7 linked regions of the Mus musculus genome follow. Each later gene encodes a partner of the first gene's protein in a complex. Links are inferred from orthologs where the notes say so. Each region holds a gene or a part of one and is shown on either strand. Other genes may lie near its edges. The genes, in order: Chd5, Cdk2ap2, Hdac2, Mta3, Cdk2ap1, Hdac1 and Mta2.

Region 1 (4,263 bases):
TTGAAAAGGCTTAATGTTCAACAACAGAAGTCTTAGGGGCTGGTAATGGAGAGTGGGCATATTCGATTGAGTTTGGGATTTTCTTTCCTGGACTCTTAGTGGTCATGGAGACAAGTGATCTGGAGAGAGCCAGCAAGCCCTCCCAGGGAGGATGCAACTCAAGCCTCAGCAGTCGGAGGCTCCCCCTGGCAGCAGACAGCCCAGGAACCATTTGGATCCTTAGCCACCTTCCTCCTGCTAGCTGGTCTTTCTGCCTTGTGCAGGGGACATTTACTGTCCAGGGAAGTGTAAAAGTGATCTGTGGTACAGAGGGAGAGTCCTAGTGTCCTGCCTGTCCATCTTGGGAGGCTGGGCAGCCACGTCAAGAGGTCATGTCATGAGGATACTCAAACCGGCACAGATTCATACGGTTCCCCAAAGGTGCTAAGACCGGGAAATCCCTTCTGGTGACAGCTCTAGACACTAGAAGCTGTGGGTCTGTAATGCCTGAATGCTCAGCTCAGGCCTGTGTTCCTACCCTCTCAGGTCACGCAGGACCTGTCTCTGCTGGTGGCAGTGAGGTACACTCCCTCGGCGTGTAGCCAGAAGCACGACATGAGGATGACTCGGACTTTACAGGACTTTGTGGGATTGGAGAGCTGGTGACCCCACAACTTCTGTGCTCTTAAAGTTGCTGTGAGACCTTGGCTGCACCAGGCTGAACGCTCTCATTTAAAATTCTAGTCTTGCTCCCCAGGGCTCCAGCATCCAGCTTCACCTCTAACAAGCAGGACTGGCTGGCAGTCGCCAACCCTTCTGCTAGGCGACAGGTGTCCTGAGTGGCAGTCCAGGGCACAGACCATACAGAGCTCCAGGGACCTGGATGTGTTTGAGCTGGACACAGACCAATTTTGGAAAGAGGGCAAGTGTTGGGGGCGGGGGGTGGGTGGGTGGGTGGGTGGGTGGGTGAGAAGCCATGGATTTTTCTGGATAAATTATGCCCACGGTCACCAGAGTGACCCATAAGTGTGGGACACATTTTCTTGGACTTCTCTTTTGAAAGGGGTTTGGAAACGTGGTAGCCTGAAAACGAGGTGGGGTAAGTCCGCTGTGTAAAAGGCTAGTGGGCAGCTTCTGGCTCACCACCCATCCTGACTCTCAGGCCCAAGTGCCTTCGCGGGCAGGGTGGCGACCGCTGGCCCTGTCTGGGGTGTGCGCAGGGGGGTACCACTTGGATTCTCCCTGCGCCTGGGCTATCGAGCTCCCGCAGCCAGCTCGGCCGTCGTGTCCCGGGTCGGGCGGGCACCTCGACAGCTCCTGGCACCCGCCCCCCCCCCCACTGCGCGCTCACTGAGCTGCCCAAGACTAGTCCCCCCAACTTGTTCTCGGCTGTTAACTAGTCGCGCTGGCGTAACGATGGGATGGGGTTGCCACAGCAACCAGACTGGACGTCACAATCCGGGCATGTGTGCCGCCCCCCCGCCGTGCCGCCGTGCCGCGGGCGCTGCCGCCGCCACCCTCGGCCGGCTGCGGGACTCGCGCTGCGGGGCGCGGTGGGCGGAGCGGCCCGGGCTTGGCGGGTGCGGGCAGAGGCGGCCTAGAGCTTGCGGGGTCGAAACGGGGGGGTGGAGGTTTGGGGGGCTGGGGGGGCCGGCGGCCGCCATCTTCTTGCCGAGACCGCCTCGCCCGCCGCGCGGGTCCGTCCGGCAGCGCACGGGTTAAGGCTGGCACCGCGCCCGGCGGGAGGGGGGCGCCCACCTTCCTTCCCCCCCCGCGCCGGGCATGCGGGGCCCGCTGGGCACCGAGGAGGAGCTGCCGCGGCTGTTCGCGGAGGAGATGGAGAACGAGGAGGAGATGTCAGGTGAGGGGGCGCGGGGACCTGCTGGCCCGGGACGCGGGAGGGGCGCGAGGCTGCGGGCTGCGCTCCCGCCCTGCTGGCGCCGCGCTAGCCAAGGGCGCGGGGCCGGGCGAGCTCCCGGGCGCGGCGCGCGGGGCGGGGTGCACTGGGACCCCCGGGCAAAGCCGTGGTGGGGGCCTGCGCGGGCTGCGGAGCGGGAGGGGGCGCGGCGAGCCGGGGTCAGCCGCGTGCCCTTGAAGGCGGCGGGAAGCGCGCGCCGCGGGCGGGGCGAGGACGGGCCGCGCGTGGGGAGCTGGCGATGCCCGAGCCGGGGAGCGCGGGCTCGGCTCCCGGCGCCTGACAGTCGCTCCCCAGCACTTTGCCCAGGCCGCCCTGGGTTCTTTGCGCCCTGGTGCCCGCCGGGTTCCCAGCCCACCCTGCTTCCCTGTCTGTGGGCCTGACGCCCCAGGGCCACCGCCCCTGCCCTTGCCAGCTGCGGCTCAGAATTCAGCCTCCTTCGTGTTTGTGCCTCAGGGGTTACCTTGCAGGATTTTTCAGTTAACTGCGCCCGTCCTGGCAGGGCCTCACCCTGTCACCTGCCCTCCCTCCCTTCTGAGGGGTATCACTTCTTAGCTTCCCAAGTCCATGGCTCCTCCTGGACTTCTGAGGGACTTGTGAGAGGCCAGAAGGGCCTCCTTCTCCCAGGAATCTACATCCCTGAGGACGAGGCTATTTCACACACTCGCACCCAGGAGAGAGCAGCATCTCCCAGCCTAGCATCTCACCAGGGGCCACACCCCCTGCCCTCAGGCACCTCTTGTGCTGGCCAGCTTGTTTGTTTAGTGGATTTAACGCTGTCGCAGGAGCCTGCTGCTCAAACCCTCCCCTTTCATCCAGGCCTTCCACGGGGTGAGGTGTGCAGGGGTATGGTTTCTAGTGGCTGACTGCTCAAGCCCAGGCTGAAGCAGCCAGACCCTTTCTCTCTGAGAGGAAGGCGGCGGTCAAGCGCGTTGAGAAACCTGTGGCTGTTTTCTACTTAGCAGCCTGACTCTTCAAAGATCCCTGGTGGTGATTGGGGCGTGGCCTTTTGTGGCATTGACAGGGACGATGTGCAGCTGACTGTGGGTCAACAGGCCCATTTCTAGGTCTTCCATTACACCGCCAGTGTCCCCTTCTTCTTCCAGCCTGGCCTTGCTTGCATCAGGGTTTAGGGCTTGGTGAGGTCTTGGATGTCCTCAGAAAGGTGCACACACAAGGCTGTTGGGGTTGGATCTTGGTTCAGTTCTTATGCCTAATCTGCCTTTCCCCTCCTGAGCAGGCAGGGGTATTGTCCCTTGGGGACAATCAAGTCCCTTCAGGAGCACTTCCAAGGCCATACAGAGGAGACACTTGGCTTCTGTCTCTCTAGCTGGGAATTCTGAGCCCTGTCCATCAACCACTCCGACTACTTTGCCTCCGGAGCCTCCAGGATCCTAGGCTAGCATCTTTCCAGGTCTCTGGTCTAAGTTTCTGTCCCCCCCCCCCCAGTCCCCCAACCATAGACTCCCTCCAGGACTTCCTAGCCATTGGTCAATGACCCTTCTTTTCTTAGACCCAGCCCATTGGTCCATCTGGTCTTCCCACTGCCGCTTCTCCCCACACAGCCTCACTGGGCTCCAACTCCTGATGCCTGATAGTATTGCTATGGAACCCAGCAGGTGCCATCTTGTCCCGGGGCCCTGGCTTTGACCTTTACCCGACTCCTGTCCTTGGCTCACAAGTTTGTTCTGTCTATGTAGATTCCAGCTGCATTGCATGATGGGACACCGCTTTCCTCCTCACCACAGACTCTCTGGCCCATTGGAGGGGTTATTTGCTCTGGACCCTCTGTCAGTACCCCCAAGCGGAGTCCCTAACTGCAATCTGGACGGAGGGTACCCGAGAAATGGTGCCTAATCGTGAGAAGGAGTCTCTAGGGCATCTCTGGTGCCCTGAATGTGGGAACCTGCTAGCCCAGTCAAGTCTGTCAGCAGTGTTGGCTGCCTCCCCGCTAGGCTAGCTGCCTCTCAGGGCCCTCTTCCGCGTGGTGGGAGGAGCTCCAGGAAAGTGACCTCGTAGCCCCGCCCCCCCGGCCAGATGGGAGGAGCCAGTGTTCCGGAAGCCTCACACTAAGGCCCAACCAGCAGCAGTTGGACTTGGGTTTGAGGGAGTCTGTGCACTGTTTCCTACAGGGGGCTTTGCTTTGGCCAGCCCTCTCCAGTTCTGTGGTGGGTGGGTGGGACTGCTGTGAGGAACAGAGTCAGGGAGGCTCAGAGGTGTGCAGCTGCCAGATTCCCAGAGGAGTGTGCTGCTCAGAGGGAGGACTTGGACTTGGATGGATGGAGGAGGCCTTAAGTCCCAGCAATGTTCTGGTTAGTCCGGTGGTGTTGGGACCAGCCCCTCAGCCCCTCTGCCTCAGTGTCCCTCAC
Region 2 (3,649 bases), on another chromosome or scaffold:
CCACACCCAGCCTTGTGGAAGTTGTCAGGACAGTGGATAGCAGCATCAAGCCAAGGTGCTGGGGGTGGGGGGGAAGGAGCCTCTAACTGCCTCCCTTAGGAGTCAGGGACCCGGTGTATTTAGAGCCTTCCAAGGATGGTTTTAAAGCGGAGCTGGTGTAGGGGCATTAGGACGTTCACGGGAGAGGCTTAAGTGAACTGGTATTTCCACCCTGCCAGGCATGCCTGCCAATCTACAGGAAGGGCCCTTTAGGCTCCGGCTGTCCAATAGTGCCTCCAGCTGTGAAGGCAGCCAAGCCCTACGCTGCCCCCTGGTGGCACCTCCTTATGCAGACATCATTGGTGTTCTGTCTGGCCTTCAGCTGCAAGGCGCAGAGCTGGAGGTAGCAATGGACAAGATGGGAAGGCAAAGCTCGGTTCAAGCGCCCTTCCCAGTTCCTGCTCTGCCCTTCCCCTCTGCCCACTCAGGCTTCCCCAGAGGAACCACACACAGAAAGGCTGAGAGAATGACTCCAAAGCATCTTTTATTTATACAAAAAGGACATATTTAGTAAAAGACACACCAAAAAAAGAGTCGGCTGTGGCCCCAGAGATGAGGCAGGAAGGTCTTCTGCACTCCTGTTGAAGAGGCAGGAGGTGGCCTGGGCTAAGAGTTAAGGAGTAAGTGCTGTGTGGTGGGGCCACAGAGAGGAGCAAGCTCCCGTCAGATCAGCACTGTGAGCAGGTCATGGAAGGGACTCCCAGTGGCCTCCCAGCACTCCCACAGAGGGAGGAGACCAGTTTGTACAGCCAACTGGACGAAGATCTGCTACCTGGTTCCTGGAGGGTGCCCACTAAGGGACACAGGACAGGAAGCCCAGGATAGGAAGCAACTTGGGGCGCGAAGGCCAGGGAGAAGCAGGCGCTCTGCAGTGGCCAGAAAGGTCCCGGCGAGGAGGTCAAGGTGCTTCCTGTTACGTGCGGGCATTGCGTTCTGTCTCTGCCAAGCACTCTCTGACTAGTGCCCGAGCGTGGATGATGCCTGGGGTGCGGTGAGGATGGGGAAGTAATAAACAGGGCCCCAGAAACAGTCCACAGCCACCCTTCAGAGCAGACACTCCCCCACCGCTCCATGGTTCAGCAAGAGCACCTCTAATCTAATGAGGATGGATGGGATTAAGGGTTGGCTAATCCGAGTTCCCAGGCACCTTCTTGGAAACAGACTCATTTGAAAATGGAAAAGTTCATTTAAAACCCCTCCTTAGGTACACGTTCTGTTCCAATCGAGGCTGGCCCAAATGTCCTGTCCTGACTCTAGATATCCTCCATCCTTACTGAACTGTCTTAAAGTTCAGTGTCTGTGTCCTGGGCAGAGCAAGGGCAGGCCTGTGGCTTCACTTACCTCTCTTCAGGCGCTCCATGGCACTCTTGCTACCAGCATAGGTGGGCCGGATCTCTTTGCCCATCTCCTCTATGACAGACAGCAGGTCCGTGTAGGTGCTCTGAGAGCCCTGGGAACCAGGTGGCTTCATCGCCTGTGTCAAAAGAAAATACAGACGTGATCTCAGACCCCGAGGGGATCTCCTGTCCTCAGCCATAAGCAAGCTCTTGGCCACACTCACCTGTACATACCCCATGGAGGGCGGACCAAAGTCGTTAAACAGCGGTCTGAAAGGTGCGGCAGCTCCTGGCACTGAGCCCGATGGCGATGGGACACTCCCGGCTGCAACGACACCAGCAAGAGGTCAGAGTGTGACAAGGGCCTCGTCACAGATTTCCAAGCCCAGGACTGTTCCCTTGACTAACCTCCAACGGCATGCTTCTTCATTCCACTCTGAACAACTTCGGAGACACACTCCTCCCCCCTGCGCTCCACCTACAAGCTCTACGTGACCACGCCCACTTCTCAGGCCAGCAAACTGAGGCTGAGCCAGGCTCGTCTAGCAGGCCCCGGATTGCAAAACTCGAGCGGTTTCTCTCCAAGACCTCGACTGCCCGGACAAGGCGAACAAGGATGGAGTTGGAGCCTCACCTGTAGGGACCGGGGTGCCTGGCCCGGGGGTGCTGGAGCCCGGGGTACTGCTGGGGGCGGGCGCGATAGGTTTGTAGGACATCCCAACTCCTCAGTGCGGCGGCCGCCAGCCGGCCGCTCCTCTGGGGTTGGCTGTCCGGCAGCTCAGCCGCACTCTGATTGGCAAGCGAGCTGCACGCCCCTGGTAAATAGAGCTCCGGCCGGAAGGGTGGGCGGGCACGATCGGTCCTCACTCTCGATTGGCGCGCTCAGCTGTCACTCGAGCCTCCTCATTGGCTGAATCTTGCCCCCGCAGGGCGCAACCGCTGCCGATTGGCCTCCACCTTCCGGACCTCGCACCTGTCTGCCCCGGATTGGGCGGTGACAGTCGTCCTCCTCAATTGGCGAGTTCGGGGCCCGGGGCCGGCGCGCTTTCAATCCGATTAGTCCCGAGGTCCAAGAGGCGGGGCCTCGGCAGCGGGCCAGTCTGGTCCCCGCGGTTTGCTCCGGTGGTGTGTGGCGGGCCGCCGAACACACTTCGTCCTCACCGCTTCGCGACTTCCCTCCGCTCAGAACTCCCAAGGCCACGGCTCCCACAGTGTGAGCACTCCGCCCTACCCCGAGCGTTTTACGTCACCTTTCACTGGTTCCGTGTCCCCCCCCCTTCGGCTGTGCGCATGTGCGCGCCTCAGGCCTGTATTTGTTCCCATGGCAACGGTTCCCTCACCAAAGTCATTACCAAGCTCCTTCTCTGGATTGGTTTGAATCTTCGGTCTAGGCAGGTGGGTCCAAGGCAGCCAACGACGCTGCTCGACACTGAACCCTAAGTCCCCTACTCTCTCCACAGACAATGATAGAGCATCATAGATCAAGAATTGCGTTAGGTCAAGTCAGGACCCTGGTCAAGACCCTTGGCTGGAATCTCAACACCTCATTAATGGTTTCCTCCTGGACTCTTTTTGGCGGGTGGGATGAGATTGAGACAAGGTCTCAAGTAGCCCAGTCAGAACTCGAACTCTCCGGGTAGGGGAGGGTGACCTTGAATTCCTGATGCTCTTGTCTCGGAAATGCTAAAGGATTACAGTCACACGCCAGTTTCTTGCCCTAATAGGTTTCCGTTTTCTCATGAAACATGAAGACAGTAATACCTGGAAAGTAAACTTGGAAGTGGGTAGAGAAATAGAGATGAGAGCCAGCCCCATATGGGTTGAAGCATGGTTGATTATTGTTCTGACGTCATTAATGAAACTCCCACCTGGGTCTGGCCATCTAGTTCCTATTTCCTTGAAATCAATTCACTTTAAAATTAAAATAAAACTATTTTATGTATACGAGTGTTTTGTCTGCATATATGTCTGCAGAACTGCTGCTTTAGCCCTCAACTCACTTTTTAAAAAAGCGACTGCAGAGATGGCTTAGCAGGTAAGAGGACAGGCTGCTCCTCCAGAGGACCCAGGTTAGAATTCTAAGCATTTACATAAAGTGCCTCAGAACCATCTGTAACTGCATTTCCAGGGGGCCCAATATCTCTTTCTGTTCTCAGTGGGCACCTAGCAAGCAGGTAGTACACAAACGTACAGTCAGAGAAAACACCCTAGACTTTTTTTTTTTTTTTTTTTCTGAGAAAGGGTCTCACTATCTAGCTCTAGCTAACCTGGAA
Region 3 (4,012 bases), on another chromosome or scaffold:
CTCCCAGGGTCTTGTTAAAACTGTAGGCTTGGGAGAGAAGTGGTTGTGGTGAGGGGTACCTTGGAGTAATTCTAAGTCTCTTGGGGTTAAGCCTGGAAGATTGGTGCTTTATGTATTAAGAGTCCTGGGGATCCGAAAGTAGAAAAATAATGATTTTTGTTAGTGACTCAGTATGGTTCTTACTTCAACACCTCCTCTTAAGGGAGGAAGTAGTGTGTGCATGTAGCTGGAATTTTAAATAATAACAGTTCAGGTGTGTGAGTATTTCATTAGACAGTCAGCTTCCATCCTTTATGCATCCTTTAAGCAGGTTGGTTTAGACAGGTGCACAATAAACGCCAGGCTATTAAACACAGGGACTCCAATATTTAAACCAATTCTTTTGAATTGTCTGGCTAGAAGCACATCCAGTCTGATAAAGTAGACAAAGCACGTGGAGTCTTGAAAAGTTCGACACCCCTTCGGTCCTCAGATGACTATTATTTAGCAATTGAGAGCACTATACTCCTTCTTTTGCCCACACCTATAAGGAGATGGACATGGCACGTACATCCCAGCACTTTTGACAGCTTTAAATGGTGTTTATTACGAGCAGGTATGGATGCTGGGAACAGTGCTTATACCGAGTCCTGGAAATGCTTATTAAACCCAGGAGATACAAGGAGTCTGCCATTAACCTCTCTGTAACTCAAGAGTAGTTATCAGGAGCCAATGAGGGAGAACAAGAGAATTGAAACACGTGGGAATATCGGACCACCAGGTAGCGGGTGTGTGTGTGGGGGGAGGCAGCCCTAGGGAGCTCTCAAGCCGAGGCCCCTCGGGGTCCCCGCGGCACGTGGCGGGCTCGGGCCGGAGCGTCGCGGCGGTGGGGGAGGGGAGCGGCATGAGCCCTGGAGGAGGGGTCTAGACTGCCCGGGATTCGTTTGAGCAGGCGCGGAGTGCGCAGGCTCGGCCCAGGCGCAACCAGTGCGCGTAAGACCGAGGGGTGAACCTCACTGCTGCGCGTCCGGGTCTCTGAGCAAGGGGCTAAAGTCCGCTTGTGCGCACCTCCGGACTGTGTGTGACTACCCGTAGAAACACTACTGTCGCCCTGGCCGGTGGCGTCCACTCCGTCCCGGTCGCTCCCTCCCGACCGTAGTTGTGGTGCCCCCCTCCGCGCAGCCGCAGTGGTCGCTCCCGCCTCGCAGCCCCGCCGCCCGGAGGCCTACCCCTGCCGAGTGTCGCGCGTCGGCGCCGCTGCCTATCCCGCTCTGTGCCCTACGGCCCTCCCGGCACCCGCCGCCGTCCCGCTCCGGGCTGCCCTTGCTCCGAGGGCTGCAGCACCGGCCGTCCCCGTCAGCCCTCTTGTCTGGCCGCCGGGCCGCGGCGGGCGGGAGCAGCCGGAGGAGGAGCCGCAGCCGGGAGGCGGCGGCCTGAGCCCATGGCGTACAGTCAAGGAGGCGGCAAGAAGAAAGTGTGCTACTACTATGATGGTGAGTGGCCGAGGAGCCTGCAGCCGGGATGCGGGGAGGGCGCGGCGGGGTGTCGGGGGTGGCAGCCCGCGGGGACACCAACACGGCCTACCCAGCGGTGGCGTCTCGGGGACGCCCGCCTTCGCTCCTCTCGGGTCCTCTCGGGCACACGCAGGTTTAGGGTGCACTGCCTCTGACCGGTCTCCCGAGGAACCCCAGTTGGCACCCTGGGCCTGACTGCACAAAGCTGGCGTCCTGGAGCTCCGCCCCACGTCCCTGTCCCCTCCCCCGCTCTCCCGGTCCCCCCTTCTCGCCCCCGATCTGTCCGCGCTGCGCTTCCAGCCTCACCCGGGACCCCGGCACCCGGGTGGGGCTGCGGAGGAGTTACTGCTGGCCGGTGGCCAAGTTCGCAGAGCGGCGCTGTCTCGCTGGTGTTTTGCGTGGACTACATCCCTCGCCTTTGTTCGCGTTCTTCGAGCTCCACTTTCTCAGGGTTCAAATGGAAGGGCTGCACTTCCTCGGTGACAATTAAGGGGTTTTGAGTTGGAAGTAGGTAGGTCGTTGGGAAGTGGTAGGAGAGAGGAAGCGTGCAGTTGTTCTTGTTTGATGGGTCCTGGCATGTCTCTATGGGAGGTTATTACCTCCCCCTTCTTTGTTGCTCTTTGTTCGATCTGCTATAATACCCTGCTCTGGGGGGTTAGGAAAGAACACCGGCATCTTGCTTAGGAACTCTTCTACTGTGGTGAAGACCTTGCTGCAGGAAACTTTGAGAAGTGGACTAAATATTCACAATGCAGTGAACGGTACAAGGTGACTGTAAGGATTTTCTAATTTGGAGTATAAGTAGTAATAGTCTCTGGGTTCAGTTACACCAAATGGAATGGTGCCCTGCCTATACAGATTTCACCCAAGACATCAATAGATAAACCATTGAGAGAAGTAATAAGGAAATTTGACAGAACTTTCGAAGCTCATTGATTGAACGCTTGATCTCCACAAAGCAATATGAAATTGGGAGCGTTTTCTGTAGTTGTATTGAAGTCACAGTGTTTGGAGAGGTAGATTAGAGAACTAGGCTGAATGAAACACTTAAACTTGTTAAAATAGTCGTGCATTTTCTTGGTTTGACAGAATCTTTTAATACAAGCTTTAAATAAAATAGCCACCTGTCATTGGCTGGAAAACCAAAAACCTTACAGAAAGCTAGGCCAAAATGGAAAAGGCTGTTTTGTTTTTTGAGACAGGCTCTAAGTTGACCTGGCTGTCCTGAAACTCACTGTGTAAATGAGGCTCTAACTCATAGAGATCCACCTGCCTCTGCCTCCCAGATCCTGGGATTAAAGATATGTGCCACCATGGCCTGGCTTAATTGGAAGTTTGAGAGGACTCAAACTGTATTGCATGTTTATTTGAAGTTACACCATCATGGAGAGCAGAGATGGGAGAGCATGTCGGTTTAAACATGAGTTACATTATGACGTTGGGGTCATAGCAAAGCCCTGACCTGCATTCTCTGATCCATTGGAAATTACAGCCTTTCTAAAGTAAAGTCCTGCTCTTGTTAGAGTCAGGGGAAAGGTTGAGCTGTTGGGGAACAGCTCAGTCTCTTCAGCTGTCAGCTTCTGTCATCAGTGATGAACTCTAAGTCCCATTAACTTTCACCAGGCCTGATGGAGAACCAGAGAGGACTCTCTGTCTTGAACAGCTCCTTCCTGGCTTCATGCGTAGGGATGAGCCTTTGCTGAGGAGTGGGATAGACATTGGTCATGGAGATAAGGTGTGGAGGGAGGCATTTTTCAGTCATGTGATTTTCGACTTATGCCCATGCAGCTGCTTTACCTAGTTGTGAGTGACCAACTGTATAATTGATGGTGGAAATCTGCTGAGTTATCTATCTGTGGTTCTTACTTGACTTGTTTTTAGAATGTACTTAACTTATTTTTATTCTGACTATTTGCATTTGGGGGACGCTAACAAAAATTGAAGATATATAAATTGGTGTCATAGTTAAGCTAATTAACATGTCATAGCATGCTAGACTACAGAGAATTCTCTGCAGAGAATTCCCTTCACGTCTGACTTGATTACAGAAACCCTCTTCTTGTTAGTTTATAAAGGTAGCAGCAATCTTTAATTGTCTTTATTAAATTCTAAACAAGAGGAGCAAGTAAAGTGACTTTTGTACCAAGAAAGTGCATGACTTTCAGACGCATGCAGGGTTGGGTTGGTGGAGAACCCGGCCAGTAGGATTGGGGCTCGAATAGTATACTAGTCTTATGTTAGTGCTTTTAACTTGGTTGGTAGGGGAGGAGATCAGGAAAGGAGGAGGTTAACGGGGCACTAGGCACCCAGAGAGCCTCTTGACAACTCATGTGAGTGTTTTCCTGCTAAGACTGTGTGCTTAGTGAAGAATACTTCTGAAGATTGAATATGGTTTTCTCCGTGTGTGCTGCAGTCTTCAGAATTGTACTTGTAGGGTCTCTGTGCCACTGATCTGTGAACTTTCAGATAGGAGCGTATGAACTATCCCTAAACCTCACAAGAGAAATCAGAGTTGTTCT
Region 4 (3,500 bases), on another chromosome or scaffold:
CAAGAACCTGACCCATAGCAACAATGACAGAGAGGAGAGCCTCTGCTGTTGTTTGAGATTTAAAACATACAATGTATCGGCTGCGGGCCAGACCATCTCCATAGCCCCATACAACAGGGGCACACATAAGAACCCTGCAAGCAGAGGTGTGCACAGTAAGGCCCGAGGCCAAAAGCAAATATCATAACCTGGCCTTTCCCCACCTGGTGCCCTGGGAGCTTGAGGGCTGTAAGCTCTTATCCCCACACCTGCCTCTTCGCTACAAGTAGCAGACACATTTAATTTGTCAGAGGACATTGAGGAACTCCAAGAGGGGATTTGGTATGTATCACAGCACAAAGTGAATATAACAGCATACAGTTCAAACAAACAAACAAACCCTGCCAGCAAGCATAGATCCACAGAAGAAAACCAGAGCCAATGCACACTCACCTTAGCAAGAGCGCTCAGCCAATATCCACTGATCCCAGCGTGGGCTTGTGTGTGGGGGTGGGGGTGGGGGGGGAGCGGACACCCGCTCACTGAAGAGACGCTGCCCTGTCTCTGAGCAGCAGGCATGCTTTCTAGAACCTTCTCAGTAACCCACCCCACAGCAGAGGACAGTTCCCACACTTAGCCAGGCCTGGCCTGAGCAGACTTACCGTAGCAGCTCTCGCAGGCTCGCCCTAGGAGGGCGCTCTGGGGCTGAAACTGGGTCCCCACAGCTCCATTCACAGTGCCAGCCTTGCCGTTGCTGCTGGAGATTTGGTTGGGATTTGGTTTGCTGCTTTCAATGAAATGTAAAGTGAGATGATAAAAACAATTTGTAGGACAAGGTCAAAAGCAGGCACCTCCTTACTAATTTCCCTTCCCTGAAATACGAACAGATACTTAATCCATTTAGTGAGGAAGACAGAGACTGGGAAAAGCAGGGTGTGAAGATGCACCCAAGTATGGGAGGCAGTGAAGGGAGACAATGAAAAGGAAGTATGGTGGGAGGTGCGAACAAGGATGCTGGGATGGACCCAGGACTTTGTACACTAACCTAAAAAAAAAAATAACAACAACCGCAAACACATACACCAAACAACAACCAAAAGAAAAAGAAAAAAAAAAACAAAACAAAACGAAATACATTGGCACACATGATTCCAGGAACTTACATAAGAGGGTATATTTGGTGCAATGATAAGAAAAAAGAAACAAAATAAAACCAAGGCACTCATTTTGCAAAACAGAGCTATAAAACAGCCAGAGTCCTGTCTCAGGCACTCTGCGGCGAAGGCATGGCTCCTGTGGACACCATACCGGTGCCAATTCTCCACAGCTCGCTGTACTTTTGAAAGACAGAAGCCCCTGGGCTTTATCTTCATCAGACATTTTCCTGACAAAGACAGCCTTTGATTGGGTGTTAAGGTAAGGGCAGTGCTGTGGGGCTGGAAGAGCCCTGGCTCCTCTCCTGCTTGGGATGACGCTGTGGCCGCTACAGTGCTCCCGAGGGGGTGAGGCTAGCTTTGCAGGGCCACCCGCCACACACAGCCAAGGAGCACCTGTCCCAAGCTCGAGATAAAAATTCACATTATGTTTTCTGAGGCAGATTAGCAATTGGATGAGAAAGCTTTTGAGTTCATGTTTTAGATTTGTTTTTCCCTCTTCTGTTTTAAGAAAACACTTTCAGGGGCTGGCAAGATGGCTCAGCGGGTAAGAACACTGACTGCTCTTCGGAAGGTCCTGAGTTCAAATCCCAGCAACCACATGGTGGCTCACAACCATCTGTAATGGGATCTGATGCCCTCTGCTGGTATGTCTGAAGTCAGCTACAGTGTACTTATGTATAATAATAAATAAATCTTTGAAAAAAAAAAAGAAAACACTTTTAGGAGAAAAAAAGACATAGGTCAGGAGGCTAAGTACAAACGCATCAGAGACGCTGGTAAAACTGAATGCAGACTGGCCAGCACAGCTCTAACTCTTTAAACACATAGGCTGCACATGTCAGGGCACTTACTATGTAAACAGAGCTGACAGTAGGCTAACCCCTGCTTAGAGCTGTGCCTACAGCTGCATGCACAGTGCACACCATTCAGAAATACAGACTCACTACATAGGAAACAAAGATCTGCCCCAGAAGAGCTTCCTGCTAGTGAACCTTTCATCTCTGTTACACTGTGAGACCCCTCTCCCCAGCTCAGGACACACACATTCACAAACAAACAAACAAACAAACAAACGAAACAGGTTTTGTTGTTTGTTTAGTATTTTTGGAACAAAAAGAAGAGAAGCGGGGCTGGCACTGTAAGCCTTTAATCACAGCCTCCAGACAGTGGCAGTGGCATCGCTGTGAGTTCAAGGACAGCCTGGTCTACAAAGTGAGTTCTAGGACAGCCAGGGTTATGGAGAGAGTGAGAGAGAGCGAGAGAGAGAGAGAGAGAGCGAGCGAGCAAGAAAGAGAGAGAGAGAGAGAGAGAGAGAGAGAGAGAGAGAGAGTCTCAAAAAAGAAAAGAAAGGAAGTAGTTCAGAGAAACTCAAGTTCCCAAAGAGGTGTTAACATTTCCAGTTGAAAAGGACTCTGCCATGGACTGGCTCAAACAATGCCCCTACTCACTTAAATCTAGTGAAACGTTTCCCAGAAATGTGGAAACTTGGCATTTAAATGCAGGACTAAAGATTTGAGTCTAAGAAGGGCCAGTGCTGGGCTGGAGAGACGGCCCAGTGGTTAAGCGCACTTGCTGTTCTTGCAGACGACCTGGGTTTGATTCCCAGCACCCACACAGTGGCTCACAACCGTTCACAACTCTGATTATTATGTGTAAATAGTAACTTGAGGCAGGTCCAGGGAGGATAATGACAGGTATAAAATGTTCCAGGTTGTGAGAGACCGTGGGAGGGTGTTTTAGAGGAAGGACAGTTTCACGGAATATTTTCATAAACATTTCTTGGTGCCCACAATGCAGTGGCTTTGTGTACTGGTCAGTGTGTTCAGTGTATGCTGCACTTACATTCCTTACTCCTTTTATGATGGAACAAACTCGCAGTGGCCTCACCTAATATTGCGCCACCTTCTCTGAGCTTGGTGACTCGCAGGAACAGTCACCTAACTGTGGACCTAACCTTGACAAGCCGAGGTCAGTCACCTCCCAAACAGCACCGCTTCCAAAGCTCTTCCTAGGTCAAGCTGGTGCCATCTCTCCTCCTGAGCACCCATAGCCAGTCTCCCCATATATGCCCTGCTGCTCCCTGGATCCAAATGAAACCTGTCATCTTCAAGACCATGACTCCTCTTTCAAATTTGTCCATTCTTCAAATCATGGGTACCCATACTGCACTGCCCTGCCCCTGGGGCTGGCTGACTACTCTCTTCACACCAGGCACACCATTTTTCTCCAGGCTCCTCTATTGTGTTCGGTCCTGTCCCAGCTCAGGACACCACTCGCTGTTCAGTGCAACTGCCTGCAGCCATGTGCACTCACACTTACTTCCTCAAAGACTCTTTTTGGGGGGGGGGCATAACAAAATATTTA
Region 5 (4,061 bases), on another chromosome or scaffold:
TTTTCTCCAGGACTTGGGGGTCTGTCCCAGCAGTGCCACTTGGCTGTAGGACCAGCCAAGGCTCTTCCAGGCCTCAGTTTCTCTACTTGTTTGAGGCCATATTTCCCAATGGAAGGGTTAAAGGCTTTGGGAATGCCCTTAGAGGAGTGGGGATACAGAAAGAATGAGAAGTACCCCCCATACTGGTGGAGGACCTCAAGCCTATTTTCCACCACCCCGGAGGAGTGGAGATAAACCTGACTTTGCGTCAAAGCCAGCACCATATGCAGTATTAGGGAAGGTGTCTGTCTCCCCCACCCCCCGGGAGGGATTCAGGGTGGAAGGGGGCTCCTCCGCCCATCATGCCCCCTTCTTCCGGAAGACACCGGCACCTGGGCTGAAGGAGGCCAGGGAGGCGGTTCCACGTCAGCTCAGCCGGTGTGGAGCATCTCAGACAATGAGCGCAGTGTGAGAGAGCTGAGAGGGCTTGGCAGAGGCCAGGAAGCTCCTGGGGCCAGGCTCAGCTCCCCGCCCCCATGCCAGACAAAGAGCGGCCTGGGCCTGGGGAGCTGGCGGCCTTCCCGCCACTTGGGGCGCCCTGGGGGGGGGGGGCTCTCGGGCGGGGGAAGGCGGGGGCTTTGTCTAACTCCGCCACTGCCACTGCCGGCCAGGCCGCAGCTTGGCAACTCAGTGAGCAGGAGGCAGGCCTGGAGGGCGTGAGAGATGATGACAGGGAAGGCGGAGGAGCCACTGTGAGAGTCCATCTTGGATGCAGATGGCAGGGGAGAGAAGGGCTTTCTGCAAAGTAATACCGGCAAGCGGGCGGGCCCCCACCAAAATGCCGAACACCTGGAGACCCCCGCACGCATCCTGGCATTCCCCATTGGCAAAATAACTACAGCTGAATACAGGTGCTAGCAAGCCCAGAACAGGGCTTCAGAGTCCCAGGGGCGGTCTGCACTGGGACCCACACCCCAAAAGGTCCCCAGTGTAAGACACACGGGAAACTAGCCCAGATCAAGCCTACGTCTCTGGTCTCCCTAGGGCTGGCAACGCAACCTACTGCCCTTCCATCCCAAACACTGACCAAGAAGACTGAGAGGCAAAAATCATATCTGACGACAAATCCTGTCACCCAAAGGGAGTGAAACCATTTGAAAAGATACAGTGACTGCATGCTCTTGGGGGGGGGGGGTCTTTGTGCCCACGTGCTAGCGTTTCAACTCTCCCAGGCTGGCACCCTAAATCTCAACCTTTTCCAAACCCCAAAGAGCAGAGAAGTGGTTTAAAACACACGTCCAGAGCTTTTCCAGGTCCCTCTGAGGGTTTCTGGAGTTCTGGAATCAACATTTGGACACAAGACCTCCAACTTGGAAGTGCCAACGCGGGTGGGATTTTTAACACACAGCGACCATAACCAACTTCTACCCCCAACTCCTCCCAAAGGCCTTATCCCTCCTGGTCCCCACTACTTGGCATCTGTTGGGGCATCAGACTACTTGGGGTGGTCTGCTCACAGCCAAATGTCTGGGAGGAGAGGGTACTGGAATTGGACACAAAGCCAGTCACCTCTGGAAGTCAGTTTCACATCCCTATTCCGGGTTCCCTTGGGGTCCGGGGCTAGCCCCCAGCCACAGCCCAAAGCTGCCTGGGAACTTTGCAAGAGTTTCCTCGGCGGCGCCCAGGCCCGGAGGGGAAGGGAGACCAGGTCCACTTGGCTTGCGCAGCGCGGCCCTGCGGGGACGTCCCCACGTGGGAGATCTGAGATGGGGACCCCCGGGACCGGCGAGCCGCAGCATGCCGCCCACAGAACCCACGAGGCCGGGGCACTGCAACTTCTTCCAAGGGGTCTCCCGAGGGCCGGGGGAAGGAACCCGGGAGTCGCTCTCATCGCCAGGAAGCGGCCCCTGCCCACCGGGCCCGCCGCCCGGAACCCTGGCCAGATTCCCTCCCGGGCCCGCGGCCGCCCTGCACCCGGCTCGGCCCCAGCCTGTCCCGCTCCGCCGACCCTCCGAGCCCCGCTCCTTGCTCACTGCGTCGCCCGCCTCCCGCCGGCAGGGGCCCTCGCCGAGCCGCCCAAAAAGCCTAAGGGAAGGGGAAAGAAAAAGGGGGGGAGCTGGGGGGGGGGAGCCTTCCTCGCTCGGCTGCCCGCGTCCTCGCTTCCCCGCCATCCGCGGCCGCCCCGCCGCTCACACCGGGAGCCCCCGGCCGCTGCCCCGCCGAGCTCCGGGCGCACCGCGAACTTTGGCAGCGCAGCGGAGGCGGCGGAATCATGGCGGCGGCGGCGCGGCTGAGTCGGCGGCGGTGGCGTTCCCGCTGCCCCGGCCCGGGACACCTCCTTCCCTCCGCCCCGTTCCCTCGCGCCACCATCCTCGGCCAGCACGCCCGCCCAAGGCACCGCGCGCCTCCGGGGAGCCCCGGGCCGCGGCCCGGAGCGCGAGCCCCCAACTTGGCGACACTTGCGGCGCGGGGCGGCGCGCGCGGCCCGCGCTCGCTCGCTCTCACTCACCGGCGTTGAGGGCGGCGGCGGGCATGTGCGCGGTCAAGTTCGGCTTGTACGACATCCCCGCGGGCGGCGGGCGCGCCGGGCAGAGCCGGGCCAGGCCGCGAGCGCGCCGGCGAGGCCGAGGCCGAGGCCCGGGCCGGGCGGCCCCACGTCCCCGCAGCCGTCCGAGCGCCCGCCGGGAGCCCGCGCACTTTTTGTTGTCGCCGGCTCGGGCCGCGCCGGCAAATATGGCCGTCCCTCACCCTGCCGCCGCCGCCGCCGCCGCCGCCGCAGTAGATCACCCATACATCGGGCGCGCGGCGCAGGGGCGGCCGCAAACTTTGAGCCCAGCCGGTCGGTGCTGGGCCGGGGCCGGACCGGGAGGGGGCGGCGGGCGTCGAGGGGGCGGCTCCTCTCGCGGCCGCGCCCCGCGCTGCGCCGCCGCCCGCAACTTGCCAAAGTTTGGGGGGCTGCGGTCCCCGCGGCGCCCCCGCCGCGCCCCGGCCTCCCGCGCGCCGCTCATTGGCCCGCGCCTTCCTCTTTTCTTAAACAGCCAGGGAGGATGGAAGAAGTACTTTTTTTTTTCCTTCTTCTTCTTCTCAGTGTCTCTTGACTGTGGGGGCAGGGATGGAAAATTACCTGGAGAAAATGGTGGCGATTGGGGTGATTTGGTTTTGGTTTTTTTGGGTTTCTTTTTCTTTTTGGTTTTGGTTTTTTTTGTTGTTTTTTGTTTTTTTGTTTTTTTTTTAATTCACGGAAATCATTCCAGATGCCCACGTCTGGCTCTATCCCAGAATTAGAATAACCCATTCTTGACATTTATTTCGAGACGGGGAAAAAAAAAATGTCATGTCTCTGCTTGGATTAAGTGAGTTTGTTTTTTTTTTTTTTTAACCCTTTGGGAACCCAAGACGCCTTTGAGACTGACAAAAGCTGGATGGAGAGACAACGACACCTCCACTAGAAAATTCGCTCTTGCATCCGTCATGACGTTTGTCACACGAACTCTTTGGAATATTTCAACCGAGCACCTACTGTGTGCCCGACACGGTTTTTATAGGCTAAGGAGGCAAGAGTGAACTTGGCAAAGTTTCGACTCCCCGGAGTTTGCACTCCATTTTTTTTTTTTTTTTTGGACCCCTCTTCCCCTCCCCACCCCACCCTATCCCGCCCCACACACGCCCCCGCCCATCTCTAAACTGACTGAAACGTCACAACCAAACGTATTTGGGATGTGATGAATAACCTTCCAAAGGTACTATATTTTGGAGTTCTGCCTGCATAGTAATGCTCATCACATTACATAAAACGCCCACCTTTTTCTGTTGTTTTTAATCGCCATGGTTTGCAGGTTTTTTTTTTTTTTAATTAGTCATATTTAGACATCATCTGTGGATCTGGTGACAACGGCGTCAGCCTCTCCGCTAGAGAAAAAAAGGGGACCACCACCGGGGTCTTAATCCCCCCTTCTTTGGGACGAAAGGTGCAGAAGAGGGGACCTCCTCTTCCACCCTCCCCCACCACCACCAGCAGCACCCTTAGGCTCCTTCTGGCAAACTGCTTCCTGGTGACATTTTTCTCTTATAAAGAAACAAAT
Region 6 (3,500 bases), about 23 Mb from region 1:
TCACAGCTGGGATGCATCACACTTTTATGTGACTTGCGTTTGGAGTGAGGGATTGCGGCTCCGAGGAGTCATCTTCCCCCTTAGCACTGTGACTGAAGGCAGTGGACTCGCCCCAAAACACTCCATGAAAGCCTGAATTTTACGTGGAACAGTTAATGGACTTGGGCCCCTCCTAGGGCTGCCCCATCTGTCAGCATGAATACAGTGAGATCGGTTTGCCCTGCCAGTCGCCCTTAGGTGGGAAATGCTACTAATTAAGTTGTTTGATACCACAAACATTCGTGTAAGTCACGTTTGCTGTTAGAAGTTAACTGGAAGAAGCTCTCTTCTGTGACTTGCCCTCCACGCTTTCTAGAGAGGACAGAATAAAGGTAGAGGAGTATATAGTAAAACTCTGGGCAGAGTTGAGCGAGGTGGGTTTTACTTCTGTGACCCACCTCCCGGCGTGCTCTTAACTAGGTGATAGCAGTTTTCTCTCGGGAAAATTGAGAGACTGGGAGTCGGGCTTCCTCTGGCCTTGCAGATCTCATGGGCTCAGCTTGTCTCACAGCACCGCTGTCTTTCTCCTTAGCCTTCCAGCCCCATCTTTGAATCTCCTTCTTTTTGTCTTTCAACTTGAATGTCCCCTTTGATTAGGACATTGGGGCTGGCAAAGGCAAGTACTATGCTGTGAACTACCCACTGCGAGACGGCATTGACGACGAATCCTATGAAGCCATCTTTAAGCCAGTAAGTGCCTTGGCTCACCCCTTGGGCTGTGTTGGGATTGATGAAGGGGACGATAGCAAAGCATCTGTTATGGCCGAGAGAGAGGTGGTTCCTCCAAGTGGCTACCTGGAAAGGAAGTGTTTACAACTTTGGCTGCTGTGTGGTATCAGGAAACAACCACATAATTTGTTGCTGCCGTCTGTCTGTGAGTCTGGCCTTTTGCTCACAGTACAGTAACTTGTAAGGTCTTTGTGGGAGGTAAATTTTATGAACCCAACAGTCTGTAGTCAGTTGTGTGACAAAACTTTTTCCAAGAGTGATGTAACACACATGTCTATTCACCACACATAGGGAACACACAACTGACCAAAATACAGATCCCACCAAAACCCAGCTTAGTGAGCCACTGAGGATCAAAAACTGGGGTTACGTACAGGAGTGGTGGTATATAGGAATAGAAATAGGTATATAGGTGGTACCTATAGGAATAGAAATGTCTTAAAGATAGCTGCATCACCAAAGCCCTCCCCACAAAAGCTCACTACCCAGCCTTCAGGCAGCTCAACAGGCTACAGAGGCATTTCCGGGAGCCTGAGTTGATCTGAGCCTTTTCCAGGCAGCTCAGCATTTTCTGTTTCTTCCAGGCAGCCTGTCTAGTCTGAAACTCTTTTTTCTTTTCTTTTCTTTTCTTTTCTTTTCTTTTCTTTTCTTTTCTTTTCTTTTCTTTTCTTTTCTTTCCTTTCCTTTCCTTTCCTTTTCTTTTCTTTTACAGCTTTTACTGCTTTGTCAGGGGAAGTCCTAGTGAATCTGTTCAGTTTCAGGGATTTCCTGAAGCTATGTTGAGTTGTGTACCTTCCTGCTAAGGAGCTTCCCTGCAGGATGGAATCAGAAACACAGCACTGATGTGTTTTTTCTTTTGTTGTTGTTCGTGACCATTTAATTTAAGCAGAATATTTGGCAAAGCAGAGATTACATGAGAGAAAGATGGGAGCAGGCAGGTCTGACAGTGATGGCAGCCCTCAGTGTTCTGTGTCCCACATCGCTGGAGTTGGCCACTCAGAGATGATTTGTTCTTTTCATTATGGTCTATTTTCTGAGCTTTTCATGGTGTTTTGGTTTGGTTTTTGGTTTTTCGAGACAGGGTCTCTCTGTTTAGCCCTGGCTGTCCTGGAACTCACTCTGTAGACCAGGCTGGCCTCGAACTCAGAAATCCGCCTGCCTCTGCCTCCCGAGTGGTGGGATTAAAGGTGTGCGCCACCACGCCCGGCTCGTTTTTCATGTTTCTTAAGCCTTTTACTACTCTCCACATTTTAAGAAATTGGGGTCTATTCTAGTCTTTATAGACTAGCTTGCCTGGAAAAGCCCCCAGCTGTTTATCCTGTCCAGAGACTGGAAAGGCAGTGTGGCATGTTGTACAGCACCTGCGGTTAGAGTCCTCAGCATCCTGACCAGAGCTTGCGTTTTTACAGGGGTGCCTGGGTCCGGGAGAAGGTAGGCTGAAGTGCAGGGGCTCTCACCACTGCAGTCCTGGCCTGGGACTCATTATAGACCAGACTGGCTTCTGACACACAGAGCGTCCTGTCTCTGCCTCCTGAATGCTGTGACTAAATTGTGCCACCATGCCCGGCCTTGAGCTGGATTGGTTAATAAGTTTTGTGGTCACACAAATGCCTGCATGCGCTTAGTAGTAAAGATGACAGAAGCTCCACGTACAGCCTCCTGAGGAACAGTGTGTGCTTAGGTTTGAGAATAAAATGTACAGAACTGGGCTGGTGAGATGGCTCAGTGGGTAAGAGCACCCGACTGCTCTTTCGAAGGTCCAGAGTTCAAATCCCAGCAACCACATGGTGGCTCACAACCATCCCTAACGAGATCTGACTCCCTCTTCTGGAGTGTCTGAAGACAGCTACAGTGTACTTACATATAATAAATAAATAAAATAAAAAAGTAAAAAAAAAAAAAAAATGTACAGAACTAGATGACCTATAGGGACAGAGGAGTGGAGCAGATGCAGCGAGAGGTTGGGAGGTCTCTGAAAGGAAGCAACTTGGGAGGTCGGCAGTTATAAAAAGGGAAAGAGGAGGGAGTTGACAGACCAATCAAAGCTCAGTTGTGCGAGTTGTGATAATCTTTACTTTAAAGTCAGAAACCTCTTGTCTACCACACAGTATCGGGGAAATAAAAGGAAAAAAAAAAAGCTGGACCTCTTTCTACCTCTGGACCTCACATGCTTTTTTTGAGATTGGTCATAACCAAGGTGTATCTTTTTATTTTTTAGGTCATGTCCAAAGTAATGGAGATGTTCCAGCCTAGTGCAGTGGTCTTACAGTGTGGCTCAGATTCCCTGTCTGGGGACCGGTTAGGTTGCTTCAATCTGACCATCAAAGGTGAGTCCAGGTAGCATGCACATAGGTGGACAGGGTCTGCCAGGTTCCCCTGTAAACCAACATCCCTTTTCCTTCCAAAGGACACGCCAAGTGTGTGGAGTTCGTGAAGAGTTTCAACTTGCCCATGCTGATGCTGGGAGGAGGTGGCTACACCATCCGGAATGTTGCTCGCTGCTGGACTTACGAAACAGCGGTGGCCCTGGACACAGAGATCCCTAATGGTATTAGCTCCAGGGCCAGGTTAGGCTGGGTGGGGGCTGGATGTCACCTGCCTTCATTTACAACTTTTCCATTTGCCCCTAGCCTTTCATACTTTCCACCGAGGTTCCTGCCTGTTATCTTGTGGCAGGCAAATCGTAGCCTCAGTTTTTCCGTAGTCTTGTGTTCTCCCCATGGTGTTGGTCA
Region 7 (4,263 bases), on another chromosome or scaffold:
AAGCCAAGTCAGTGAGAACTTGGGAAGCACACAGTGGGGTTCATAGTGGACGCTATGCCTATGATCAGTTCATGTCGTCAAGTGAGGGAAGAATGACGGCTGAGTAGGCGATTTCCACCTAGGGGATGTGGCTGGAGGCTGCAAACTGCTGAGGAACCGCTATGAGAGCAGAGACCGGGAGTGGGCTACCTATACCTGTGTGCTGGGCTTCCACGTCTATGGTGAGCCAGGATCTGGAATCCGTTAGGAGGGCTGGGGAAACAAGGAAGAACCCATTCTGCCCTCAGAATCCTGGGCGTGTGCCACCTCGGGGTGGGGGTCATAGTGGCAAATCCAGGCTAGGAGGCCCCTTGGGATTGTCTGGAGCGCAGTGGCAACCTGAAGACCTGAAACACTGCAACTCTAGGTTGTGGTAGCAGCCTGACTCAGGCCACCTGTTGTGTTAGGTGTGTGGCCTGATGGCTCTGATGGGACAGACATCAACTCCCTTTGCCGCTCCCACAATGAACGGGTGGTGGCTGTGGCAGACGACTTCTGCAAAGTACACCTCTTTCAGTACCCATGTGCTCGAGCCAAGGTGAGGCTTCAGGGGACCATTGGGCCCAGGTGGGTAGGTTTGGTACCCTGCCATTGCTGCAACCAGTTGTTTTTTTTTTTTTTTTCTCTCATCTAGGCGCCAAGTCGTATGTACTCAGGCCATGGCAGCCATGTGACTAGTGTCCGGTTCACGCACGACGACTCATACCTTGTCTCCTTAGGTGGCAAGGATGCTAGCATCTTTCAGTGGCGAGTGCTGGGGGCAGGGAGCTCTGGGCCCGCTCCTGCCACACCATCTAGAACGCCCTCTCTGTCCCCTGCCTCCTCCCTGGACGTGTGATTGATGCTGGATGGTCTTGTCCCTCTGGTACTGTGGTCTGGCCCCACCCTGGCCAAAACCCCTAGGACCAAGGACAGTCTTTTCCTGTGCTGGCTTTTTCTTTGACTTCATACATTCCCAATTGCGCATTTTTCTGGAGGGGCTAACCACCCCACTGCACACAAAATAACAACAGACTTGCTGGCTGAGCCAGGCAACCCAGCTCCGACACCCTCTGCTCGGTGAGGGGCAATAAAAAGAAAAAAGTAACTGCCTGGTGCTTTTGTGCGGCGGGTCCCCTCAGGGGCCCAGTTGTGTTAGGATGAAAGAAAAAAGTGCAGGGCGGGAAGAGAAAAGGGAGTTCAGACCAAATATGCAAATAACAGGCAAAGCGGCTTGCAAATAACCTCAAGAAGAGTGAGGGCGCGCGCGCGCCTTTCGACGCCACTGCCGGGGAGCTGCTAGGACCCATAGTGCAAAGAGTTAATTCCGGCTCCTCACCGCCCTCAGGGGCGGGGTCGAGCTGCAACGGAAATAACCGAGCGCGAGGCCGCGGCTGAGCGAAAGGAGCCGAGTTCCTTCCGGAAGTGGCCGATCTGCGGGGTCTTGCTCTCCGACCTGAGCCGAGCGCTGGGCCTTGTTCTCCGGATCGGCCGAAGGTGTTCCGGAAGGAGGCGAACCCGGACGCGGGCAGGGCAAACCTTGCCAGCGGTTGGCACCGCACGACGTCTGCTGGGACTCGGTGAGGACGCTAGGAGCTGGAACCTCACTCCGGTCAGGCAGGAATCGAGCTCGTTCCGGAAGAAGCCGAGTAGACCGGAGCTGGCCTCGGTGTCCCGGCGTGAGGCTATAGCAGTGTCGTCGTCGCGCGGGCAGTGATGAGCCGCGGCGGCTGAGCGAGCAGAGGTGCCGGCTGCTCGGGCCCCATCGACACTTCCGCGAAGCGTCAGCCACGCGCTGGGGGCTTCGTCTGGAGCTGAGCTTTGCCCCCGCGAGCCTCCGGGACCTCTTTGTGTGGCCGGAGGCGGCGGCGGGAACGGCCATGGCGGCTAACATGTACCGGGTGGGAGGTGAGTACCCTGAGCGGAAGAGGCTGAGGCCGGGATCAGGGAGACTCGGTGTCCGCAGGCGCGGGGGAGCCACATCTGGGGTCGTGTGGGCCGCGGCACCGACCGGAACCGGAATCAAGAGCCATGGTTCCGCGGCGGCGACGCTATCGGGCGCAGAGTCTACCGCAGAGGCTTACCTGCAGCCGTAACGGTGCTCTTGAGACCTGTGACTGGATCGCCGGGCTGGAAGTGGCCTTGGCTTTGGAAGGGGCCCGAGTGACCCACCGTCCGGCCAGCCGCGCTAGGGGCTAGGCGCGCAGGGGTTTTCTTTTCTGTGGCGGCTTGTGCGTTCGCGAAGGTGGGGCCTGAACAGTTTACTCAATTCTCCTATACAAGGATGCAACTTGAGTGCAAAGTTGTATGGACTCCAGGGAAATTCTTGTTCTTGTTTCTTAAGTCTCACTTTTGAGTGAAGATCTGACTTTAGAACTGGGTGTTGCAGGGGTAGGGGGTAAAAACTCATTTCCTTTTTCTTCTTTTTTCCTTGTTTCTTTTTAGACAAGGTTTATTCTCTGTGTAGTCTTGGCTGTCCTGGGACTCATACTGTAGACCAGGCTGTCCTCGAACTCAGAGATCCGCCTGCCTCTGCCTCCTGACTGCTGGAATTAAAGGTGTGTGACACCACTGCCTGGCAAAGTATTTCCATAATATCTCTTTTCCTTCCTTCCTTTTTTTTTTTTTTTTTTTTCTTTTTTTCTCTCTTCTCTTCCCCCACCCCCCATTTCCTTTTTGAGGCAGGTTTCCCCCTTGTTTCTTTTGAGACAAGGTTTCTCTGTGTAACCCTGGCTGTCCTGGAACTTGAGCTGTAGACTTGGCTGGCTTTGAACCAAGAGCCTGCTTTGGTCTCCCAGACTGCTGGGATTAAACGCATATGCCACCACTGTCCAGCTAATGACTAGTACTTATTTTCTTAACTCTCTCCTCTTGCTCATCTCCACTTCATCTCTATCTAGAATTTTGTCTCATTTTGGTCCACACAGAGCGACTTTTTCATCTGGGTGCCCTCTCCTCTGATCCTCTTGTTTCTTCCCCACCTCCTACAGATTACGTCTATTTTGAGAACTCCTCCAGCAATCCTTACCTGGTTAGACGGATTGAGGAGCTCAATAAGGTGAGTGGAGTTGGTTTTTTTTTTTTTTAATGATACAGGGTCTCTCTATTATGTAACCTTGGCTGCCTGGAACTTGCTGTGTAGACCAGGCTGATCTTAAACTCATGGAGACCCTTTTCATTGGTTCTGAAATTATCTTTGAGTATTAAGTCTTTACTGCTAAGTTTTTCTAGCTCTTCTACTTAGACCCTTAAGGAGATATTGCTTTTGACTCTGCGCACTTCCACTCCCCCACCTCCCCCCAGCACCTCCACTTTCTTTTGTTGTTGTTGTTGTTTTGTTTTGTTTTGAGACAGGGTTTCTCTGTGTAGCCCTGGCTGTCCTGGAACTCATTTTGTAGACCAGGCTGGCCTTGAACTCAGAAATCCGTCTGCCTCTGCCTCCCGAGTACTGGGATTAAAGGCGTGCACCACCACACCCGGCATGCATCTCCACTTTCAAATGGCCAATTTTCCTTCTCGGTTTTTCTCCCTCCTTTAGACTGCAAATGGAAATGTGGAAGCAAAGGTTGTCTGTCTTTTCCGGCGAAGGGATATTTCTAGTAGCCTCAACAGCTTGGCTGACAGTAATGCTCGTGAGTGTCTTCATTCCTTACCCATCTCCCTTCCCCAGGATCTGAGGACTAGACATGTTCCTGCAGGTGTTTCCCCTGGCAGCATGCCCAAGGGAGGGTGTGAGTTTGGGGGGGGGTGGGAAGTGCCTGGTCTGCGGAGGGAGGCCTGTTGTTACACGTTGGGGTTGGAAGCAGGGCGGGCAGACCATGATAAGGAAAGCCAAAATGAGGCTTATGTGTGTGAGTGGAGAGATATTTAGATAGGAAATGAAAAGAGCTTTAGAGAAGCAGGCACTCGGGGACATTTTGGGTACTTTGGGACAGTGGTTAGTGAGTGATGGCCAAGGTGAAGAGGAAGATACTGTTTTGAGAAGTCTGCATAACAGAGAGGCTTATGCTGTAGTCTGGAGGCGATGCCAAAACATTAATAGAGATGATAAGCTAGGAGCAGTTCTCTTGGACTTCCCTGCCTTCACCATTTTTCCTCTCCATTCCAGTTAGTGTCATTTTTACTTATTTTTGCTTTGTCTGCATTTTCTCTATGATCTTTATATTGTAATTTTTTTTCACTTAGTTTTATCTTTTTTCTTTCCTTTTTTTTTTTTTTTTTTCTTTGTCAGGGTTTCTCTGTGTA

What was found.
Region 2: Chd5 (region 1) and Cdk2ap2 share a complex: the UniProt entries of both Homo sapiens proteins name them as parts of the nucleosome remodeling and deacetylase (NuRD) repressor complex. The link is inferred for Mus musculus from reciprocal best matches to the Homo sapiens genes CHD5 and CDK2AP2.
Region 3: Chd5 (region 1) and Hdac2 share a complex: the UniProt entries of both Homo sapiens proteins name them as parts of the nucleosome remodeling and deacetylase (NuRD) repressor complex. The link is inferred for Mus musculus from reciprocal best matches to the Homo sapiens genes CHD5 and HDAC2.
Region 4: Chd5 (region 1) and Mta3 share a complex: the UniProt entries of both Homo sapiens proteins name them as parts of the nucleosome remodeling and deacetylase (NuRD) repressor complex. The link is inferred for Mus musculus from reciprocal best matches to the Homo sapiens genes CHD5 and MTA3.
Region 5: Chd5 (region 1) and Cdk2ap1 share a complex: the UniProt entries of both Homo sapiens proteins name them as parts of the nucleosome remodeling and deacetylase (NuRD) repressor complex. The link is inferred for Mus musculus from reciprocal best matches to the Homo sapiens genes CHD5 and CDK2AP1.
Region 6: Chd5 (region 1) and Hdac1 share a complex: the UniProt entries of both Homo sapiens proteins name them as parts of the nucleosome remodeling and deacetylase (NuRD) repressor complex. The link is inferred for Mus musculus from reciprocal best matches to the Homo sapiens genes CHD5 and HDAC1.
Region 7: Chd5 (region 1) and Mta2 share a complex: the UniProt entries of both Homo sapiens proteins name them as parts of the nucleosome remodeling and deacetylase (NuRD) repressor complex. The link is inferred for Mus musculus from reciprocal best matches to the Homo sapiens genes CHD5 and MTA2.

What each region holds. Positions count from the first base shown.
Region 1 is NC_000070.6:152,337,191-152,341,453, forward strand, and holds the start of Chd5 (chromodomain-helicase-DNA-binding protein 5), read left to right. Parts: upstream 1-1,463; 5' UTR 1,464-1,761; coding exon 1,762-1,840; intron 1,841-4,263. UniProt on the Homo sapiens protein: ATP-dependent chromatin-remodeling factor that binds DNA through histones and regulates gene transcription. May specifically recognize and bind trimethylated 'Lys-27' (H3K27me3) and non-methylated 'Lys-4' of histone H3.
Region 2 is NC_000085.6:4,095,869-4,099,517, reverse strand, and holds Cdk2ap2 (cyclin-dependent kinase 2-associated protein 2), read right to left. Parts: upstream 2,168-3,649; 5' UTR 2,093-2,167; coding exon 2,011-2,092; exon of another isoform or gene 1,807-2,010; coding exon of another isoform or gene 1,785-1,806; intron 1,702-1,784; coding exon 1,601-1,701; intron 1,514-1,600; coding exon 1,381-1,513; intron 1,021-1,380; coding exon 953-1,020; 3' UTR 501-952; downstream 1-500. UniProt on the Homo sapiens protein: Acts as a component of the histone deacetylase NuRD complex which participates in the remodeling of chromatin.
Region 3 is NC_000076.6:36,973,332-36,977,343, forward strand, and holds the start of Hdac2 (histone deacetylase 2), read left to right. Parts: upstream 1-1,212; 5' UTR 1,213-1,420; coding exon 1,421-1,472; intron 1,473-1,540; exon of another isoform or gene 1,541-2,004; intron 2,005-4,012. UniProt on the Homo sapiens protein: Histone deacetylase that catalyzes the deacetylation of lysine residues on the N-terminal part of the core histones (H2A, H2B, H3 and H4).
Region 4 is NC_000083.6:83,786,184-83,789,683, reverse strand, and holds part of Mta3 (metastasis-associated protein MTA3), read right to left. Parts: intron 767-3,500; coding exon of another isoform or gene 764-766; coding exon 642-763; intron 1-641. UniProt on the Homo sapiens protein: Acts as a component of the histone deacetylase NuRD complex which participates in the remodeling of chromatin.
Region 5 is NC_000071.6:124,351,829-124,355,889, forward strand, and holds the start of Cdk2ap1 (cyclin-dependent kinase 2-associated protein 1), read right to left. Parts: upstream 2,801-4,061; 5' UTR 2,544-2,800; coding exon 2,489-2,543; intron 1-2,488. UniProt on the Homo sapiens protein: Inhibitor of cyclin-dependent kinase CDK2. Also acts as a component of the histone deacetylase NuRD complex which participates in the remodeling of chromatin.
Region 6 is NC_000070.6:129,518,647-129,522,146, reverse strand, and holds part of Hdac1 (histone deacetylase 1), read left to right. Parts: intron 1-636; coding exon 637-729; intron 730-2,986; coding exon 2,987-3,095; intron 3,096-3,175; coding exon 3,176-3,316; intron 3,317-3,500. UniProt on the Homo sapiens protein: Histone deacetylase that catalyzes the deacetylation of lysine residues on the N-terminal part of the core histones (H2A, H2B, H3 and H4).
Region 7 is NC_000085.6:8,940,457-8,944,719, forward strand, and holds the start of Mta2 (metastasis-associated protein MTA2), read left to right. Parts: upstream 1-1,463; 5' UTR 1,464-1,898; coding exon 1,899-1,926; exon of another isoform or gene 1,927-1,934; intron 1,935-2,016; exon of another isoform or gene 2,017-2,576; intron 2,577-3,008; coding exon 3,009-3,076; intron 3,077-3,556; coding exon 3,557-3,650; intron 3,651-4,263. Other genes in the region: Eml3 (echinoderm microtubule-associated protein-like 3), read left to right, coding at 123-221, 447-577, 674-877. UniProt on the Homo sapiens protein: May function as a transcriptional coregulator. Acts as a component of the histone deacetylase NuRD complex which participates in the remodeling of chromatin.